Drosophila melanogaster: one gene and its partners. Changing the gene in region 2 together with the main gene of any one other region gives a genetic interaction. Each region holds a gene or a part of one and is shown on either strand. Other genes may lie near its edges. The genes, in order: Elys, Nup62 and Nup154.

The links.
Region 1: of Nup62 (region 2) and Elys, changing one enhances a phenotype caused by changing the other (phenotypic enhancement), as found in Drosophila melanogaster (one study listed by BioGRID).
Region 3: of Nup62 (region 2) and Nup154, changing one suppresses a phenotype caused by changing the other (phenotypic suppression), as found in Drosophila melanogaster (one study listed by BioGRID).

Annotation. Positions count from the first base shown.
Region 1 is NC_004354.4:19,650,403-19,658,847, reverse strand, and holds the start of Elys (elys), read right to left. Parts: upstream 6,544-8,445; 5' UTR 6,393-6,543; coding exon 6,290-6,392; intron 6,222-6,289; coding exon 5,586-6,221; intron 5,527-5,585; coding exon 5,210-5,526; intron 5,156-5,209; coding exon 4,792-5,155; intron 4,723-4,791; coding exon 4,532-4,722; intron 4,397-4,531; coding exon 3,620-4,396; intron 3,551-3,619; coding exon 1-3,550. Other genes in the region: Ranbp21, read left to right, coding at 7,548-8,445.
Region 2 is NT_033778.4:16,342,776-16,347,262, reverse strand, and holds Nup62 (nucleoporin 62kD), read right to left. Parts: upstream 2,887-4,487; 5' UTR 2,683-2,886; coding exon 1,498-2,682; 3' UTR 1,435-1,497; downstream 1-1,434. Other genes in the region: wcd (wicked), read left to right, coding at 1-1,388; CG7997 (uncharacterized protein), read left to right, coding at 4,077-4,168, 4,228-4,257. UniProt on the Drosophila melanogaster protein: Essential component of the nuclear pore complex. The N-terminal is probably involved in nucleocytoplasmic transport.
Region 3 is NT_033779.5:11,002,999-11,011,524, reverse strand, and holds Nup154 (nucleoporin 154kD), read right to left. Parts: upstream 6,706-8,526; 5' UTR 6,546-6,705; coding exon 6,447-6,545; intron 6,387-6,446; coding exon 6,224-6,386; intron 6,158-6,223; coding exon 5,664-6,157; intron 5,605-5,663; coding exon 5,432-5,604; intron 5,364-5,431; coding exon 4,393-5,363; intron 4,334-4,392; coding exon 4,094-4,333; intron 4,031-4,093; coding exon 3,869-4,030; intron 3,811-3,868; coding exon 3,264-3,810; intron 3,206-3,263; coding exon 2,680-3,205; intron 2,615-2,679; coding exon 2,148-2,614; intron 2,083-2,147; coding exon 1,960-2,082; intron 1,899-1,959; coding exon 1,766-1,898; 3' UTR 1,615-1,765; coding exon of another isoform or gene 628-1,614; 3' UTR 604-627; downstream 1-603. Other genes in the region: dUTPase (deoxyuridine triphosphatase), read right to left, coding at 1-84; Art8 (arginine methyltransferase 8), read left to right, coding at 533-571, 628-1,614; RpL9 (ribosomal protein L9), read left to right, coding at 7,774-8,014, 8,287-8,526. UniProt on the Drosophila melanogaster protein: Component of the nuclear pore complex. Has a role in the organization of the inner nuclear membrane proteins at the nuclear envelope.

The DNA of each region.
Region 1 (8,445 bases), on a different chromosome or scaffold from region 2:
TCGGCGGTGCCTGCGAGGTGGCCCTCTTGCCGCGTGCCTTGGTCATTGTGGGCGTGCCGGGTCTGGAGCTCGTTGCCTCCGAGTCCACGCTGAGGCGCGTTCGCGAGCGGGTGCGCGGTAACGAAAGGTCCGAGGGACTATGCTCGTCGATCACCTCCAGCAGATATTTGTGCTGCAACCCACGACGCTTGGGAGTCGAGACTGGTGGATTGGATGCGGGCGATAAAGTTGGGGCGTCGGTGCTGCGCAAAGACATCGTGCGACCAGCGACTGGAGTCGGACTATCGCGATGCTCCTGGGAGACGCGACGAGGTCGCAGAGTTCGCGGACTGTCCTGGTGCTCCGTGAAGCTGCGACGCGGTCGCAATGTATGAATCGCCCGTGTTGGCACATCTTGCTCCTCCTCATCCTCATCACCGGAGAAAATCAGCTTCAGGCTGTGTCTTGAATCCTCCTCTTCGGGCAATAGTGGTTCTGGATTATGTTGGGTTTCCTCCTCGGAAGCTTCCTTGCTCTCCGTCTTGTCTCCTTCTTTGGGCTGCTCATCCGCCACATGTTCGACCTTCACAACGACCTGCTCTTCGGCTTCTGCGTCGACATCCTCTTCTGGAATTTCCCCAAGACCACTAGACTGCGTTGCTTGCCCTGCTGGCAAGGGTTCCAACTCCGGCACCTCCAGCACCTCCAGCACGTTCGGCACCTCATCCACCGCCATCTCGATATCCACATCGGAAAGTACTGGCAAGGGTTCCATCTCCGGCACCTCCAGCACCTCCAGCACGTCCGGCACCGCATCCACTTCCATCCCGATATCCATATCGGCACGTGGCTGCTTTTGCTCGCTAAACTCAACTGTGGCCACTGACTCGTTGCTCGGGGTCTCCTCCTCCATTGGCCAATCCTTTCGCTGCTCCGGCTGAGTATCCTTTTCCTTCGCCGTCTCCTCATCGCTATCTAGGACAATGGTGTCGGCCACATCCGAGTCGCTGTTGACCGTGGCGCCCAGCGAAAGGAATGGACTGGGGACACCAGCCGCCTCCTCCTGACATTCGTCCTTGAAGGCGAACAGCTCCGCACTGCTGGAGGCCGCCGATTGCTGGGGTCGGGCGACATAGCCGCGCACTTCTGTTCCATCCAGCGCTATGACGCAATCATCATCGTCGTACTCCTCCTCTTCCTCCAGCGAGCCCTTGGTGGTGTCCAGGTCGTCAACCGTTTCCAGACTATTGGCGCGGTACAATGAGATCGGCGTGCCATCTCCATCCTCGCCATGAGGTGCCTGCGGACTAGATGTCTGTGATACGTTCGTGTCGCTGGGCAGGAATGAGGTGGGCGTGTGCGTAACCGATCGGGATGTGGTTATGGAGCCCGGCGACTCAACAACGATGGAGTACATTGGGTCATCGGTGTGCAGTGTTGGCAGCATGGGATTCCGAATGCCGGCCGAGGACACGTTCGAGTCTTCGCTACTGAGGCTGTAGATGGGCGAGGAGAGGGGCTCCTGGGCCGTTCCTTCTGAGTTGCTTAGGAACGCCAGCTGACCACCGGTCGCCAAAGGCTCCTGCGCCTGATCCTCATCCTGATCCTGCTCTTGCTCCGGCTTCTGCTCGTCCTGTGGATTCTGTTGCTCCTCAAGCGATTTTGTGTCACCCAGCTTCAGTTCCTCTTCGTTCTCCACATCCTGAGTATCTTGCTGCTCAAGTGACGCCACATCGTAAGTGGACATTCCCAGCGTGGTGTCCATCATCTGGTGGTGCCCCTGTATAGCCGGCCTTGCTGATGGCAGAGACCACTGTGCGCTGGGTGCGGCCGTCAATTCTGCACCAAGATCGGTGGATTCCATTTCGCCACAGATGGTAGTGCGCTCGGAAATCTTAATCCCACAGCTGCCGCTGGAGAAGACCTGTGACTGCGTCTCGCCCATCTTGGACGAGCAGACGGTGGGCACAAACTGGGAATGTGATGACGTCTGAGCCGGCTGGACAGTGCTGAAGCTACCGAATCCACTACTACTCTCGCTCCCTGTTGCAGTACCAATCTTGCTACCGCTTCCATTTCCCCCATGTAGCAATGAGTTTCGGGGCTGTGGTCCTGCTGGTGGGGCGAAATAATGAGGAGAATTCCGCGATGGTACCGGATCCACCAAAGACACATTGGCCGATACTAAAGGCGAGAGGAACTCATCCTCCTCGTCGGACTCATAGCTGCAGGCGCTCCTTGGTTCGCTTCTTGACTCGATCTCCACAATGATCTCGTCAGTTTCCTCCTCACCCTCAGCCGCACCTTCGCTGCCCATCTCCGTCGATTTATCAGATTTATCAGTTCGCAGAGGAATGGGCGGCACAAAGCGAAATCTTTTTGGCCCCGCCAGCGCTGTGAATGTAGCCACCGGCGGAGCTCTCTTAACGGCATCCACGGCCCCGCTTCCCTTCAGGATCGGTGGAATCGGCTGTGGCGAACTGCTGCTCTGGCGTATCGTCGTCGACTGTCGCGCCTGGAGGAAATTTGGCGGCTGCAATAGATTGGTCGCCTCGTTTTGCTTGACCTCTTCCTGCTCCATTTGGTTCGAACTTTTTTCTCGAATGGATCTCACATAGTCTTTAACATCCTCCACCATTCGTTCAACCATCAGACAAGGACGCTTATTGGGACGCTCCGTGCCTAGCTGCCTCTGGTCCTGTAGATTGGTACGCTGATCCTCTAGCTCCCGCTGTCGTTTCTCCACCACCTGGTGTGGTACCGGCTTTACTATGCGCCGAGGAAGTGGAAGCTCCGAATGTCCGTATTGCGCGTGCCGCAGGAATGGCACATTGGTGTAGCCTATTTTTGATTGGATCGAAACGGGAGTCATCTTTGGAGGGGACTCGCATTGCGTTGCCCAGTGGGCACTGACGGCAGAACTCTGAAAGATGCCGCCCAATTGGCCGCTGGCGTTCTGTTTGACCAGCTGGCAGCTGAATGGCTCCAAGGGACCGGTCTTTTGGTAGGGCTCCAAGGTGTCTCTGATGCGAAGATACGTGCCGGCGATGTTCTGTGTAACTGGTCCCATTGTAGCGCTGTATGCTGGGAGTATTGTATTGGATGATTCATCTCGCTCCCGCTCGGCGGCCACCTCATCCATAAAGGACACGGCCTCGATGAACTTGCTCTTTTGAAGCAGCATTATCAATTGCACGCAATCCGTCTGACGCGATCTGCACTGGCGCAGTAGACTGTACAACAGCCGTTCCTCTGGCTCTCGCAGGTACAGCTCGGCCAAAACTTTGAAGCGTCTGATTTCAATGCAGTGGCGGAAGAAGCGCTCCAGCAGCGGCTGTCCATCCTCGTCGTCGTCGAGGCGAGCGATTTGGAATGCTTCCGTTATGTTTTCGTTGGCTAGGAGCACTTTCATGTGCAGCGCCGAGGACAATGGACCGGGTGGTCGACTGACCACCTTCTTGGCTGCCTTGACGGCACCTTCAGCCAGCAGTTTATCTATTAACAGCCGCATCTGCCACGATTTCAAGTTCTTAGCGGGGGCAGGCTCCTTGTATAGCTCCTCTACGCCTCGCTGTAATCAAATACATCACAAAACGAATGAATATAACACTTTCGCTTATATTAACCGATCCGAACTCACCTCGTAATCGCCGTGGTCCAAGTACCAGAAGCAGCGCAATGACGTGGCCAGATCTTTGTCCAGCTGAAAGGCAATCTGAAAGCGCCCGACCAGCTGTTGGTTCAGGTCCATCAGCAGGTAGAGGATAAGAGCATGTTTGTGACAGAGTTCTATGTCGGGACTGAGCATCAAGTGTATATACGCATGCAGCGAGTCCGGCGGATAGGGTTCCGGAAAGGAGGCGCGTTTTCCCAGAGAATCAATGTAGAGGATCTTTCCCTGCGCTCGTTTTTCCGAGTACTCGTGTTGCAGGCGAACGAAGGCCTGCTCGCCGGGTACCAGATTATCCATGTGCTGACCCTCCGGCAGGAGGCCGTGATCGATAAACCAAAGCAGCACTCTTTGGTACTCGAGAACCGTTTTCAGCGCCCTCTCGTTGGCACGGCAATCGTCCAAAATTGAGGAGGTTAGCCTGCGCCGTCCCTGCTCGACAATGTAGGACTGCAATCGTACCAATTCACGCAGCTGACCGGATAGCACTTGAAACTCGCGCCGTTCCCGCTGGTCCAGTGGATAGCCGCCGTAATCAAAGATGCCATGGCAAAGTTCCGAGCACCTCGTCTTGATCTGTCCGGCGCGCTTCAAGATCCAGTTGGTCAGCGTGGACAAGGAGAGTTGCGTGTTATCAATCATGTTGCACAAGAAGCTGCCATCCATCCAACTCCGTGCGCAGTCGTTAAGCAAAGCTCCGCAGTTGTGCTCCAGGGCCACCGACAGTATCAACTCGTACATGGCAATCTAGAGAGCAAGATAATGCAATGTTACTTTAAAACGAGTATAACGAGCATGATTCATTTCCCCAAAGACTGTGGTACTATATGATACCAGAAGATTTCCGGATAACTGATAATAATAACCTAGTGTGTAGCTCACCTTAGAGAATGTGGCGTTAGGGTTAAGCTCACAAAATTGTGGCAGGAGACGCAGGCGAACGATGTCCTCGTGGTAGATCTGAGGACGCAAAAAGAGCGTGGCACGATCACAGCGAAGTGCGTTCAGAAACCGATGCTGCACTCCGTCCTGGGCGTAGTACCGTTTGCCAGTTGGAGTTAACAGTGAGCAATCTGGAAATAGACGGTATTACTTGGCTATTAATCTTACTGGCGCTGGCTTCAATCACCGCTGTCACTTACCAAAGGTTAGTGAGTTGGGATAAAAGTGCTCATCGTAGCGCTGCAGTGAGACAAAGTGCAATATGGTGGTGGAACGCAAATCCAATGCCAGTCCCGTCTGTAGACCACTGAGTATGTAGCCGGACATGTAATTAGGAACTTCGTTTTTGTGAACGGATGTGGGCATCTCATCCTTGTACCACTGATTAATGTCGAACAGGACTAGCTTGTTCTTTTTATCTGCACTTGAGTGCCACGAGATGACAATCAGCAGCGTTCCGTTGTCGCCGGCAAAACTGAAAGTAGACGCCGTGGCGCAGCCGATCACGGAGCAGATGCCTCCGTCCAAGATTTGGCGGTTGCGCACGGTTCTAGAACGGTAGTCCTGCGAAGCAAGAAGTCAATATTGGTCTGTGCGTGACGGCTCAAGATTTCTCACCTTAAAACGGATCGTGTGGGTTTCCCGGTCCCGGTACGAGCCCCTGTAGCAGACCGAGTGCAGCATCATTTGCAGGACGTCGATATTTTGGTACAATGCACAGATGTAGAAACAGGGTTTGGGGTCATCCGGTGGCATAATGAGGCACATTCGCTTCACTGCTCTATTGACCCCTTTCCTTTTTACTGGCGAATTCAGATCAGTGGTCACGTCGAAGTTGATTAGGTCGTAGATCAGGATTCGGCCGTCTTCTAGACCAGCAGCATAGCCGGGCGCCATGCTAATGCCCATAAGGCAACTGATTCCAATGGATGCCACTGTTGGTAAATTGAAGGTTAACCTAGCTACCATGGCACACTGGCAGTGACAGACTCACCGTCCATCCGCACAGCCAAGTGAGCCCCTTTGGAGCGACAATGGGTCAGCTTGGAGCTGAGTTGCCTCTTGGACTCCTCGGAGGATACAAAGTATAGGTTCCCGTCCGACGGCTCATCTTTGGAACTGGGGGAGCAAAGGCTGCGCCTTTGGGTACTCGCCTGCAGGCTGTCGCTGTTCAGATCAACCAACAGCACAGTGCCTTCCTCGGTGGCCACGGCCAGACAGCCTTTAAACCGTCTCAGTCGCGTGAGTCCATAGATTCTTTTATCGAGGAACGTCAGCGCGCTGCACGTTATACCGTGAAGGTCGAAGCGGCGGAGCACCTGACTGTTGCGAATGGCATAGATGAGCACCTGCGTGCTCAACGGGCAGTCGATGGGTCTCTGATCGCCGCTGTTCCATGACTCCAGGCAGATGGCTAGCATAGCGGGGCGTTCGTGTTCGCCGGGGAAGAGCTCCTCCACGCAGCGAATGCTTTTGCGCGGCCCCAGATCATCGGATTCGCTCCAGAAGCAGTGCCAAGAAAGGTAATCGCCGGTGGACATGCTGCAGACCAGCAAAGTGGCATCGCTTCCATACCGCCAGGTCACCCAGCCCCATTGCCCGTCGCGTATGATGCCGCCCAGGTATTCGGCTGTAAAGGGATAGCGGAGATTCTTGGTGAATCGGTTTCGGCACACGCCGTATTTTGTGCACACTTACCGGCGTCCAAATGTGCCGACGGCTCCCGGCCAAATCCGGGTACTATGCGCTCCGGGAACGCAATCGTGCGGCTACCGTCCAACTCCACTTCGTGCCACTCCATCTCTATTTCATCAATGCCGGCCGCTTGCAAATAAAAATAAAATTATAAATACAGCGCTCTTGCACCGATTGATCGGCGTGTATGTTTTGTGTGTGCGTGAGTGTGTGAGTGCCTGAGCGGCCTGGCGTTGCCGCCTCGATTTGGCATACAAAAAAACCGTTGTTTTGCTTGTCGTGTATGCACGCTGAGTGGCCCAGTGCTGGCTAACGTCCGACAGAGATTCGCAAATTTAGCGATGGCAAGGACTTGAGTTACTAGTTACCATATATTTCTGTACATTTTCAATTTTTTCTATATACATGCTTAAACAAGTTTGTAACTGAGAGGCAAGCCAATCATTTGAAGAAAAGACTAGAAGCCGGCACTTGCAGCCTGGCAACTTCAACACCAGCAGACTGGCAACGCTGCAGAATTGCGAAAATATTGCGCGAATTTCATAAGGAACTCAACCGGCTGGCTTTGCATTTGAAGTCCGAATGAACACAGATAGTAGCAACCTTGAAGCGTAATGCCTTGTATCACTCAATTCAGGCATATATAGCTCCGAGTCAAGCTCTTAGTACATACAATAGCAACAATACTATCTGGCAACTTTCGTGCGCCGCTTGTCAACCCTGTCCCGTGCGATTTGCTGCACATTGTTCTAAAACAACCCAGCCGGAAAAGCGGTTTCAGTAGTGGTCTACTTCTATATGCGACTCAAATGTGAGAGACCTGACCAGAGGCTGTGTTCCAGGCAATAGGCGCTACCCAGGGCGATCATCGGTGCCCACAGGCAATCCCAACCAGAACACCAACACACCACAATCCCAGCTCACGCATTCCGCATTTCGCACACGGAACAGACCACACAACACACAGCACATAGCACATAGCACACACGCACACAGGTAGCGGCAGCTCTTTTAATCTTCCAAAACGTTGTCTGGCTCGCTGGCTGGTTGGCTGGCTCCACAAAAGCATTGGTCACAGACAACGCACGAGGGGATCGCGGCGGAGATCGAGAGGCTAGGCGAGATTTGGGTTTCGAGCGGTGGGCAGGGGCAAGCAGAGGTAAGTGGAGCACATGGCGCCCGTTGCAGGAAGAAGCCGCACCCAGGAAATTTGTTTCAATTCCAATCTAACGCAATACCCACAGGTAGACGCTAGCTAGCGATGTCCCAGCACGGAGGCACCGAGGCTCTGGCCGCCGAACTGGCCTCGGCCATCGATCTAGTCATGAACCCGATGACACAGCAACAGGCGCGCCTGGAGGCCTACATGGCCTGTGAGCGGTTTAAGGAGGAGTCGCCAATGTGCGCCCAGGTGGGCCTATTCCTGGCCAGCTCGCCGCAGTCTAACCAGCAAGTGCGACACTTTGGCCTGCAGCTGATCGAGTACACAATCAAGTACCGATGGAATTGCATTACGCACGAGGAGAAGGTGTACATTAAGGACAATGCCATCAAGATGCTGAACGTGGGCGTGGGCCCGGCGGAGGACCGCTCGCTGCTGCCCACGAAGGACGCGCTGTCGCGCATCATCGTCGAGATGATCAAGCGCGAGTGGCCGCAGCAGTGGTCCGACCTGCTGCCGGAGCTAAGCCAGGCCTGCACCAAGGGCGAGGCCCAAACGGAGCTGGTGCTTCTGGTCTTCTTGCGACTGGTGGAGGACGTGGCCCTATTACAGACAATCGAGTCGAATCAGCGGCGAAAGGACATGTACCAGGCGCTAAACAACAACATGAACGACATCTTCGAGTTCTTCCTGCGCCTGGTGGAGCAGCATGTGACTGCGTTCCGCGAGACAACGCGTCTGTGCAACTACACCAAGGCGAACGCGCACAGCCGTGTCGTCGAGATGGTACTGCTCACGCTGAGCGGCTTCGTCGAGTGGGTCAGCATCCAGCACATCATGTCCAGCAATGGCAAACTGATGCACTTCCTCTGCATCCTGCTCAACGACAAAGCATTCCAATGCAATGCGGCCGAGTGCCTGGCGCAGATCACGAACCGCAAGGGCCAGACCAAGGAGCGAAAGCCGTTGCTTCAGCTGTTCAACGAGGAGCCGCTGC
Region 2 (4,487 bases):
AGCTCAACTATGTGGAGGTGCCCATGGAAAAGGTGCTCTTCGGCGACAGGCAGCGACTGCTCACCAATCTAGCCAAGTCCGTGGGACAAAAGTTGCCGAACGATGACGAAGACGAGCAGGAGGAAAATCCCGGCCAGGCAAAGCCAGGCGACAAGCGGAAAGCCGCCTGGTCGGATTCCGATGACGAGGACCTGCAGGTGGGCGATGTCAAGAAGGCCACAAAGCACACGGGTCCACTGAACCACCTGCGCAAGGATAAATCGTACAAGGAGTATCTTACGGCGCGATTCCAGCGCACGCTTAACCAACCCAAGTGGGCGGAAAAGAAGGTCAAAAATGAGGACGACGAGGACGTATCCTCCGACGAAGAACTGCTGCGGACGGTTGGCTTTATCGATCGTAAAGCCCGGAACAGTGATCTGCCCCAGAAGACTCTGAATTTTAAACGGGTCAAAGACCTGAACAGGGCCACATATGCCGAGGGTAATGCCACCAGCATTCAGTTTCATCCAACCAGTACTGCTGCTCTAGTGGCGGGCATGAATGGCCTAGCCACCATCTACGCCGTGGATGGGCAAAAGAACGAAAGGTTGCACAACATGCGCTTCAAGAAGTTCCCGCTGGCGTGCTCCAGAATTGCTCCATGCGGCACAAGGGCGTTCTTTGGTTCTGTGAAACCATTCTACTACTCCTACGACTTGCTGGAAGCCAAGGAATCGAAGCTAAAGCTGCCGGGCGCAATGGAATTTATGCACCGCTTTGAGGTGTCTCCATGTGGCAAATTTATCGTCACTGCTGGCAAGTTTGGAGCCATTCACCTGCTCACGGCCAAAACAAATGAGCTGCTGCACAGCTTCAAGCAGGAGGGCAAAGTGAAGGGATTCACATGGTCTAGTGACTCCAAGAGGATCCTCGTCTGCGGTTCCACTTCCAATGTCAGCGTGCTGAACCTGCGCCAGAACCTCATCGAGCACATCTTCATGGACGACGGCTGTATACATGGAGAGTCCATTCAACTGTCTCCCAACCAACGCCTACTGGCCACCGGCAGTCAAGAGGGCGTGGTCAACATCTACGACTACGAGAGCATTTTCGCATCCAAGGCCCCACAACCCGAGAAGCGCTTCATGAACCTACGGACTGCCATCACGGATCTCCAGTTCAATCACTCATCTGAGCTACTGGCGATGTGCTCCAGTGAGGCGCCGAATGCTTTTAAGCTGGCCCATTTCCCCAGCGCCACTGTGTACTCCAATTTCCCGGCACAGAACGAGAAGGTTGGCTTTGTGACCTCCATGGCCTTTTCGCCGCACAGCAGCTTCCTGGCCTTTGCCACTAAGGGCAAACAGGTGCCGCTCTTTAGGCTTAAGTACTTCAAGGGTTATTAATTGAAGGCAGTATGATGTTTACAATAAATTCTTAAATAAAATCATTACTCTTTCTGTGGTTACAATGGAACCATCTTTATTTAAGTTAACAAATTAAGGGGACTTATCTTTAGAAAGGAGCTCGGAAAATATCGCGTTTCTGGGAGTCTTGAATCTTGCCAATGTCTTCCAGCTTCTTGCTGATGTTCGTCGACTGCGATTCGATCCACTGCAACGAATTCATATGGGCATTAAGGATTTTTCCGATCTGTATGATGGGATCAGTGGTGTCCTGGCCCTTGTTGGCCTCGTTCAAGTTGTCTATTATCTCCTTTAGATCCTCGGACATCTGCTTCAGTTGTGTGTCCAGATTCTCCACCATCAGGTAGGTTTGGCTGCGTTCCATGTCCACCCTCGGGAGATTAACGAATTCCTTCTCAAGCGGTCCCAGGCTGTCCTCAAGCTCTTTTTGCTGCGTGGCTATAAACTCCAGCTCCTGGTCCAGCACTTGCTGATCGGTTTTCACTTTTTTCACGGCATCGTTGAGCTCGACGATCTTCCCGTTGTTGCTGATGAGCAGTTTGTCCCATGCGTTGATCTGAGTGGCCTGTTCGGTGAATACCTTTTCCTGTTCCTCGAACTCGAGAGTCCACTTGTTGATATGCTCCTCAAGTTGGTGGTAGGACAATTGGGATGCCGTGGAAACGGCCGATGAGTCTGTGGTCTTGGTTTCGGTAGTGAGATTGGCAAAAGCACCACCAGTACTTAAAGTTGGGGCCGGTGCAGCTCCCTGCGTGGAGGCTATGGCCGACGGAGCTGCAGTCAGAGTTGTGGACGCAGCGGCCGTGGTCTTGGGAGCTCCCAATCCAGACCCGCCCAGCAATCCAGTTGTGGTAGCTGCGGTGTTGGGTGCACTGGTTGCTATAGTTGGCACCACAGATGCCGCTGGTTGAGCCGTAAAGCCTCCGAAGGCGGGAGGAGCAGCAGAGGTTCCAGTCGCGGTCGCAGAAGTGGTGGACGCTGGATTTGCGGCGGCTTGAGTGCCCAGCGTGAGGGGAGCTGAAGCAGTCCCGGATCCCAGGCCAAATCCAAAGGCTGGTGGAGCCTGCGCCTTGCTGTTGTCTGCATCTCCGCCACCGATACCAGCAGTAGGTGCCGGTGTTCCGAAAGAGAATGTGGTTTTTGTGGCGGGAGCCGTGGTTGCTGCTCCTGAAGCTGGTGCTGCGGCTGGTGTTCCTGTGCTGAGGCCGAAGGAAAACGACGATGTTGCGCCTCCGGTCGGGGCGGCGGTTGTTGTTGGCAACTGGAATACCATGCTTAAACTTAAGACGAATAATATAAATCTAAATCAAACGAAACACGCCAAAAGCAACCAGTGTGACCCCTCCTTGGAGTTCCGCAATGTTGTCGGTGTTGGAAATCAACTAAATTTGAGCTCAAGCTAGCTATTTTCAAGCCAAAACACTTAGCAGTTTGAAGATTGGGCGGCAAAATTAAATTTTAAATTTCTTTGAATTGGCAATACAAATGAAGTACTTTGCTCAGTCGACGATACATTTTTGTTACTAAAACATGCTGAAAACCAAAACATTTATATTATTTTAACGTTTGCAATCACTTTTTGCACTTTTAAAATATATTTATGTCTGTGTCCGTTTTTTTAACCAGCGATCAACTAACTTGCGAAATCGACAAACAACACTGGTCGAGAGCTATGTTTTAGCTCCAGTTTTAGTCGTACATGGAACAAATCATTCCGCGCAACTTAAATAAAAAAACCAACTCAGAAAGAAAACGTAGTCAATCGTACAAACAAAATCAATAACAAAACACCGGCTTTAATTAGTCATCTTTTGCTATCTGTAAGTGCAAAGGCGATAAGGTAACATTTGGGTCAAAAGAATTCAATTACAAGCCCAAAGTGCAGCGGCACTCAGTTCAGTAATTGCATTTTGCTAAATCAGCTAAACACATGTGTGCTTCCTATCAGAAGGTTCGTTCTGCGTACCTGTGTAGGTTCTCTTCAGAGCTGCCAGCCACAAAATTAGAAAAATTACCTAAGGTACAAACGTAATGCGGTACAACAATTAGAGCTTGTCTTTGACCTTCGGTTTTTTTTTTTTTTGTAATAAGATTCTTTTTAAGATTTTCATAAGATCTGAGATCTGATCCTCAAAAACAGAAATTTTAAATTATTCTTAAAAACCAGATCAAAATTTTCTAATAAAAGACCATAGTTCCTATGTTTTGTTAGTACATGTTTTCCCATCACTAGTACCGTGCTCTAGTCTACTATGCTTCCAACTATTTCCCCAACTTTGTTGACCAGTGTAGCTGGCAAGCAGCGCCAGAATTGAACAACAAAAGCATATCAGAATCAAAAGCCCCTGTTCTCGGTCTCTCCTCGATTTTCTCTATTTGCTCCCTGTGATCGCTGTGAACTTGGCGTGATAAGGGGCTCCGGCTCCTCCTGCAATCGAGAAAGCCCGCTGTTTGCGCCACCCGGCGAACACCAATCAGTCGATGGGAGTACTCCGCTGCAATAGCAATTAGCCACTAACCTTCTGTCAGCTCTTCAGGTGCCATTCCCCTACCTCCAGCTCCTCAGGTGCCCCTGCCAAACAGAGTTATCTGGAGTGCCGCCCGCTGGAGAATATAAATTCCCTGGGTGCCCAAAGGCCAGGATTCAGTCGGTGCCACTAGCTCGCCATGTACGGAACGTGGGGCGTCTTTCTGGGCGGGATTCTTCTGCTGCAGGTTCTGCAATTATCCATGGGCCTCGATAATGGCCTGGCACTAAAGTGAGTATTAAATTTTGATTGGATTCTAGGCCACTTAATTGAAATTCTGTCGATTTTAGGCCACCTATGGGCTGGATGTCCTGGGAGCGGTAAGAAATATTTACCAGCAACTAGATTAGATCATAAAGAATTATCATTACGTCTAACATTTAAAATAAATAAACTTTAATAGTTAGTAAAAATTAGGCCTTGGCATGAACTCTACACGCTACGCTGCAATAACGCTTTTGTTTATTTCATTGCTGATATAACTAACACTACTGATATAACTATAGTCTATTTAAAGATTCTCTGAATTTTTGATTACCCATGTCTTACT
Region 3 (8,526 bases), on a different chromosome or scaffold from region 2:
GGTGAGTTTGGCGAATCGCAGGACGCACGTGTCGATCTTCATCTTCTTGGCAGCTGGAATGTCGGCGAAATCGGTTGATGGCATTTGGAGCAAATTGAGTTATTACAGGAATGCTTCGAAAGTACAGAGACTTTTTTCAGCTTACTTGCAGAATTCTGGTCTGAAAATAACGCGGTTTAACACAGCGTCGGAAAATTGGCGGACTTCCAGTGTTGCAAGATACCAAAAGTACAAATCGCCGAAAATCTACCAAAAAATCTTAAGTCAGCTTTGCATTTCTAAAAAACATATATACAACTATGCCTTGAGTTTAATTAAACAAATAATAAATAAAACAATAATTTAGGCATTAATAAATAAATCAAATTGATTTTATTAAGTAAAACGACCAATCACAACCAACCCTGATAAGCAACCCTATCGATATATCGATACTATTGTAGTTGATTAACACACCTCTATTTAGCACGTTGTTTTGAAAAATTCACTTGATGCGTTAATGTTAATGTGTTGATAACTGCAACTTTAAATCATGGCGAACACTTATTTCGATGAGTATGAAAACTTGGAGGTAAATAAGATTATAGATCTTCTTGTGAAACTGTACTCATAGTGACCAAACTACAGATCCACGAGCTCATGCTGAAGGATCGTCCTCGGCAAGAAGCCTACTACAATGCGATATTGGGGAATAAGGATCTGTTCAAGGACAAGATCGTAATGGATGTTGGTGCCGGCACAGGGATTCTGTCCGCCTTTTGTGCGAAAGCAGGAGCCCGTTTGGTCTACGCCGTAGAAGCATCCAATGTGGCCACCAAAGTTGCGCTGGATTTGATTGAGGATAACGGCCTGACGAACGTGGTGAAGGTGATCCAGTCGCGTGTTGAGGAATTCGTACTGCCTGCCGAGGCGGAAAAGGTGGACATCATTGTGTCCGAGTGGATGGGCTTCTACCTGCTGCACGAGGGCATGTTGGACTCGGTTCTCCTGGCCCGGGACAAGTTCCTCAAGGAGGGTGGACTCCTGTTCCCCAGCGAGTGCACAATTTTCGTGGCACCCTGCTCGGTACCATCGCTCTTCGATGATTGGCACAACGTGGACGGCATCAAAATGGACACGTTTGCCAGAAAACTCAGAACCCAAAAGTCATCCCGACCGGAGATTACACAGCTGAATCCGCAAGATCTTCTGCACGAGGGCGTCGTCTTTCACTGGATGAATCTGCTGGATGTGGAAGCCAGCGATTTGGACAGCATTCAGTTCAAGGAGGTAATAACAGCCCAGAAGGCGGGCAATCACCAGGGCTTCTGCATTTGGTTCGATGTACAGTTTCCTGGCGAAGATTTTGTTCTAAGCACATCGCCGCTATCCCCGCCAACGCATTGGAAGCAGTGTGTAGTCGTCCTGCCCGAGGAATCCTGCGAAAATCTGGAGGAGAAGTCACCCATTGCATTTCAAATCACAATGAAGCGCAGTGCTGCCGATATGCGTAAATACAATCTGGAGGTGGATTTGCTAGACCCCAACACAGAGGAGCATCCAGTGCCTTGCTCCTGTCACATGACGAAGTGCATTCTGACGGAAGCTCATCTAAAAATGATGGACACCTCATGAGTTACATGCCATCTCGGAATCCGAACAACGATCTGTGGGGAAATCAATTTATTTAACATGTTTAATACAAATACAATATATATCTCAGTCAAACTTAACGTCTAGTCCAGCACTTTCAAAAATTTAATTAAAATAACGCAGGCCGACGGCTTTAAATCAACAACCGCTGCAGCTGACTCTGAAGTTCCTTGAGTGAATGTTGAAGACGATTAGTGTCGGGCTTTTGGTAGCAAATATTCAGGCAGCCGGCCACTATGTCTTGAGCCTTGCCAACAATTCGTCGTCTGCAAGTTAAATGTGAATGTAAGTAAATCGTATCGGCTAGCATTTTACTTTTGCACTTACTTTGACCGGTACCAAATAGATTGTGCGTTGTCTGCCAGAAGCGAGACCACTCGTATGACGGATTGTATTAAATGCCACTCATTACCCTCGTTGGCCCACACTCGTTCGTTCATTGAAATCATTCTGAAAGTTTTTAAAAGTTTAGCCTTTAAACAATTTTATCTCTGCGAAAACCCTTCAATACGTACCTCGAATAGTATTCCAGGAGCAGTTCAATGTCCAAATTCATACTCACCAGTTTTTCCGGCACTATGCCCTCGGGAAATCGCAGTTGGCAGGCTTTAACTTCCAGTTCCCTTATGAGAAAGGCAAAGGGAAAGCAAACTCCAGACTCGCCATACTCCCTTACCAAGATTTCGATTTTCGTGAATAACCTATTGCAGCGCTCACTAGTTGTGCCCGGCTTATCCACAACGCTGTTGATAATCTGGCCCCAAACGGACTCGATCAGTAGGGGGTCGTTGTGATGCGAGCAGTTGAGTATGGACAATTGGCACTCCCAAAGGTCGAAGGGCTCCGCAAAGTGCTGGTATAGCTGAGTTATGTCGTACAACGCATAGTTTAGTTCCTTAACAGCCGTAGCTGCCTCCAGCTTATCGCTAGCCAACTCTGTCATCGCGGCAAGCACTGATTTTTGAACTCGTGCGATGTCCAGCTGAATTTTTAAATTATGTTATTAAATATAGGTCACCACATCTTTCCAGAGATCTTATAACGTACCTTATCCTCTAGCTCTTTCAGGAATATTCCATTGCTTAATGAAGAGCCAACGTTACCATTTCGCATACACATAACAGCACGCACCAAGTACTCAATGCGCTGCTCCAGATTAATGTTTTCACTGCGTGTCATAGCCAAATTGTCCAATATATGGGCTGCCTGGGAATGATGGCTATTCTTTTCGTAGTACTTCCACAGCAAATCGATAAGAACGACATTATCTACATTTTGCGACACACTGCGCCGCAAGAACTCTCCTAATGACGGCTCAACCACGTCTAAAAGCTCTTTGAGCATGTCGTGGGCCAGCAGCCATTCGTAGAGCGTTATATGAATGAGCGGGTCTTTCACCTTTAGGGTATGGGCCACTATTTTTGGAATCGTTTGCGTAGCACCGTTTTTTGCATCGGACGCTTTAGCCGTACCTTTAAGTGGATTTATAGACTTATCCTGAACGTGCGTCTTGTTGCATACTCTCTGGTAGATATGGTCCAGCATAAGTTGCACTTCCTTGTAGTAGGCCATCCTAAGATGTGGAAATAATTAGTTTTTCCAAGAAAAAAAAAAACTATTAAAGAAGTTACCTTGTGGCAAAGCAAGTGTAACCCTCGCGATCATCGGCGGGTTCCCCATTGTTATAGAAATGAACACCAACCTCCTCTGGATCACTTTTTGAGGCACAAACAGCCGAAAGCTCGATCACTCCCTCAAAGAAGTCAGCCGATATGAATTGCATGCAAATACTATGCAGTGGCAATGTGGGAGCAGCTTCCTTGCACATATGCAGGGTGGTTCGCAGCATATGTTCCTTTTCGGTTGCCGAAGTGCAATTCTTTGCATTCATCAACAACTCGGTGGCCTTGTAGGTCACGTCATCCTCATGCCTGTATAGGTTGGGGCAGTTCTCACGTAAGTTCTTGGACACTTCAGACACTCCCGCCGCGTCCTTCAGATACAGATTGATCAGCGAGATGATCAAGAATGCGCAGACCTCTGAACGTGTAATCAGAAGATCCCGGAAGGTGGAGCATGTCAACAACTTCTGATGTTCCGGACTGAGTTGCACGCATATCAGCTGGAAGGAATGCGAGTTTAGGATGTTCCACAGCGATATAACCTCACATGCATGTTCTGCAAACGGCGGTAGATAAGTTCAAGCTTTATGATTTAATATCCCAACTTTACTTACTGACAAATAGGTTGAGAGCGGAAAGCGAACGTGTTTCCTCTACTTGAGCCTGCTCGGACAATACGCGTTGCTCAGGAATTGGCAGCAAAGTGTTGCCCATCATGATGGTGTTATATGAATTGGTTCTATCCAAATGGTTATCAAATGACACTCGAGTAGTCGCTGCAACAATTGTATAATTAATAAGTAAGTACCTTAACTTGCAATAAAAAGTTCACGACTTACAGGAAATATCGTGCACAGAGTGCACTTCCAGAAAGCTACGCAGGGAACGCAGATCGGATAGCAAGAGGGCACACTCACTCTGACTTAGATTAGAGCAAAATTGCTCATTTACACAGCGCATTTGCCAAACAGAATGCAGCATGCGGGAGACATACATGTAAAGTCCGTCGTGTTTGGCCGAGAAAACGATTGGGGAATTCTCGTTACTAACTGCCACCTGTGGTGGCTGCATATTTCCAACTGATAAATACATATTTGTGTTTACTATTTCGCAATCTGGAAGATCTTATTTAACTCACTTGGACTTATGGGCTGATTGAACTGCGATCCAGGAAAACCAACCGGACTATTTGCCACGCTATTCGGCATTGGCGTGGACATAAACATGGATTGACGCTCCCTTACATTCGTCGTATTCGGGCCTAGAGTTTGATTAGCCATATTGCGGTTGCTGGCGTTCAGGAACTTTTGATGCTGATAGCATGGCTCTCCGCCGTACAGCATAAACGCCTGGGCGGCCCACAAAGCAACGTCACTGCCACGATAAGTATCCGATGTGGCCAGCAGCAGAGCCGTGACACATGCCTCTCGCTGATTCTGCGACTGGAAGAACATCTTCACCTCCTCGTGGTGTGGGCCATTGCACGACAGAAGGATCTGACGCAGTACGTCCACCATTTTAAGCACCTCTATGATATGTGTGCCTTGGTTGGTGAGCAGGGCTACTTTGCGGGCGTGTCGGGCACTATTTAAGGGTGACTTTCGTTGTGGCGTCGACGGTTCATGTACCTCAGCCAATCCCCAAACAACTCCATCCAGGCTCTCCAGAGCCGTCGACTCCACCAGGTAGGTAAAGTTAACCGATGGGGCAGAGCTGAGCGACCAGAGGAGATCCTGTTCATGCTGTTGCGTTGTGATCATCAACATGGTTCCCTCCGTGTAGTGAGCGGCATGGACCTGCTTTGGTTTGTTGGTGGTGGCATTTGGGGTGTAGCCGGGTGGTAGACGCACGTGGAGCAGATAAAGTCCCTTAGGAGCCTCAGCATTTGGAGACAGTGGTGGCTGAACTGCTGGCTGACCGAATCCTGTATTCTCACCTGGACTGCAAGGAACCGCGGGACCAAATTGTTGCTTCACATTTAGCGATGTTGTGGAGAAAAAGAGCCGCACACCACACTGAGTAACGGCCACAAGATGTAGTTTGTCGGCATCGTCGGCGCTCAGAGGGCAGATGGCTTTCACACTTTTAAAAATGGACGGGTCCACAGTCCTAAAGTTTAAATAATGGTTATTAATTAACCATACTACAGTTAAATTCTTTGCGAAACTAGCACTTACGTGATCAGACTAACTGCTTGATTCGTAATATCGTTCTGGGTAATCCGACCTAGTCTTCGAGCTGTCGTGTAACTCGTACTGATGTCCCAAGCCTCAATGACACCTTTTTCCGTAAGGACATAGAGAAGCTTGCGACTGTTATCGATCTCAATGTGTTCGATTGGATCCACTTCCTGCAAACAAATCGCGCTAAATAGTTACGGACATTTTTTGAAGTAAAGACAATAGTTACCGAAAAGACCTTCAAAAAACTGGGAACCATATAGGAGACCAGTCCTTGGGAGAGATTTATTTTCTTGCATCGCTTGCCAAACCAACTGGACTCGGCCTGATAGTAAATTTCATAGAGGCAGCCATCGCGACCGCCCAAAAAGATGCGGCCGTCATCCGTTCCTTTGATGACGCTGATGGACACGTTGTCGGTACCAATCACAAAAACTGGCCGGTTCATCAGCTGCATTTCGTTGTACGAGCTCTCACCGAATGTCACGCCCAGGACAATGACCTCAATGGGCGTAGTGAGAACCAGGAGGTACTTGACGTCCTGCACAAAGACGCCGGGTTTTGGTTTCACCAGGCCAACGCTTACGATCAGATGACTGAGGCCATCGTAGTACGCCACATCCCTCGTCTGATTGAACGTCCAGATGTAGATTTCCGAATCGATAGTCAGCCAGGCACGTCCGATTTCCGGAAAGAGGCCCATGGTGCAGTGGCATTTTATGTCTACAACAGGTAGGATCGAAGATTGGAACGGATAGATCTATGGGCTATGAAGCCCAGGATACGTACGCTTAAAGTGCTCCAGAATCTCGTTGGGAATAGCCGACTTGGTCACCGTTCGCATTTGTTGTAGGTTATGTGTTCTATCCGATTTCAAAAACGACAGGCTCTGGTAATCGTAGTCATTAAGTCCGCTCATCGTGGCCCGCCCATGCTGGCTAACGCCGGTCAGCTACAAAGAACGTATCATTAAAGGAGGAGAAGCTGATAAACATCCGTATCCAATACATACTTCCAGCAGACCCGGCTTATTTCTCTCCAGATTGTAATGCCATTCCAGCATACTGGTCGCCGTCGTGAAAAAGTCCAGCTGTGCTTGCGGAAGAGTCATCGTGCTGAAAACTGTGATGAGGCGGGCTAACTCGGGTGCAATGCTAACTTAAAATGCCGTCAGACCACTGTTTTGGGATGAAACTACAAACTAATCTGAAGATTTGGTCGACTGATGCTCAATGTACCCACGCTCCCGCCTTCTGCTAAGTGTTACCAGATATCCTCACATTCTCGGTATTGTTTTGGTATATTTCGATTGAATATTAATGGATTTCACAATTTCAGGCGCCTTAGCGGGGTATTATGAAATCGTCTGTCACAAGAAACATTTGCAAACGTGCATGAAATTAATATTTTAATAATAATTTCTTTTACTGCTAATATATATTATATGATAAGGACGCGTATATTAATAGACAATAATGGTTTTAGTAGGCATATTCAGTGGGCTTAAATACTTTGAAAAAACGTTGATAATTTTATATAAACAGTAACTGTGCTAATACAAGTATAATAAAAAAAGCACTTCCCATGCCGGAAACTTTTGAGAATATAAAAATATTAGAATGTGAAGAGTATAACTCAGTTGAGCGCAACAGGTGTGTTATTCTCTAAAATCGGTAAAACCTCAAACTACTGAATGAATTCAGCATTTCGAAGCTTTGCCAATGGATTTTATAATTGTGATTAAAATCCACTTTCCGCTTTCCCAAATAGACTTGATTTAAGCCTTCTTTTCAAAAAAAAAAAAAAAGACTACTGTAACTCAACACAGAAACTCTAGCGCTTAACAGCACAATGCGTAACGTTAACAGCACCCCAACGGCACATGGCGCTCAAAATTTAGCGCATTTTGTGCGCCTCACACAGCCACATTAAATTTCCCTTCTTTTCTTTTCCCCGTTTCCGGTGAGTAGTGTGTTCCGCGTTATATTTTTATTGAAATTTTAACCCAAAATATCTCTAAAACCACCCCTTGCAGCGAGGAGTCCATCCAGAATTTGTGTCATACAAACGAGGGACTAACGGAGCGTAAGTTTTGTGTGAAAAAGCGCCCCAAAACATCGAATCGAGTGAAACGGCAATTGGCGTGTGGCACTGAAGAGCCGCCGTTTTTCCATTTCCGCTGGGATGGATGATCCATAAACAAATTGGAAAACAATAGGCAGCGCACGTTTTGTTAGCCCGATGTGAACTCTGCGATTCGATGTTTGGAATGCTCTGTGACAAGCACTTGTAGCCTTGATAAACTAATAATTAATGTTTTTGCCGACAGTGTCATCAAGATGCGTACCATTAATTCCAACCAGTGCGTGAAGATCCCTAAGGATATCAAGGCCTCGGTGAAGGCCCGTGTGGTGACCATCACCGGCACCCGCGGCACCCTGAAGCGCAGCTTCAAGCACTTGGCTCTGGACATGTACATGCCCGACAAGCGCACCCTGAAGGTGGAGAAGTGGTTCGGAACCAAGAAGGAGTTGGCCGCCGTCCGCACCGTCTGCAGTCACATCGAGAACATGATCAAGGGTGCGTACAGCTAGGGTAAACACAACAGGAACACTTTCACAGCCAGGCCTTTCATTTGCCAATCACACGAGAATTTAATAATAATATCTGGGAAGACGATTTACTAAACTCCATTCATAGATATCAATTTTCTTTACAAATTACCTAAAAATGCTATATAGTAGTTAGTAAATATTTTCAGTGTGTGCTGGCAAATTAGATTCGGCATTAGGTTCCTAAAGACATTTGCATTCAAAGTACCACACAATTAATTGCAATTTCTCTCTCGCCAGGAGTCACGTTTGGATTCCAGTACAAGATGCGTGCTGTGTACGCCCATTTCCCCATCAACTGTGTCACCTCCGAGAACAACACGGTCATTGAGATCCGTAACTTCTTGGGTGAGAAGTACATCCGTCGTGTGGAGATGGCTCCTGGCGTCACCGTGGTCAACTCCACTGCCCAGAAGGACGAACTTATCGTGGAGGGAAACGATATTGAGTCTGTCTCCGGATCTGCCGCCCTCATCCAGC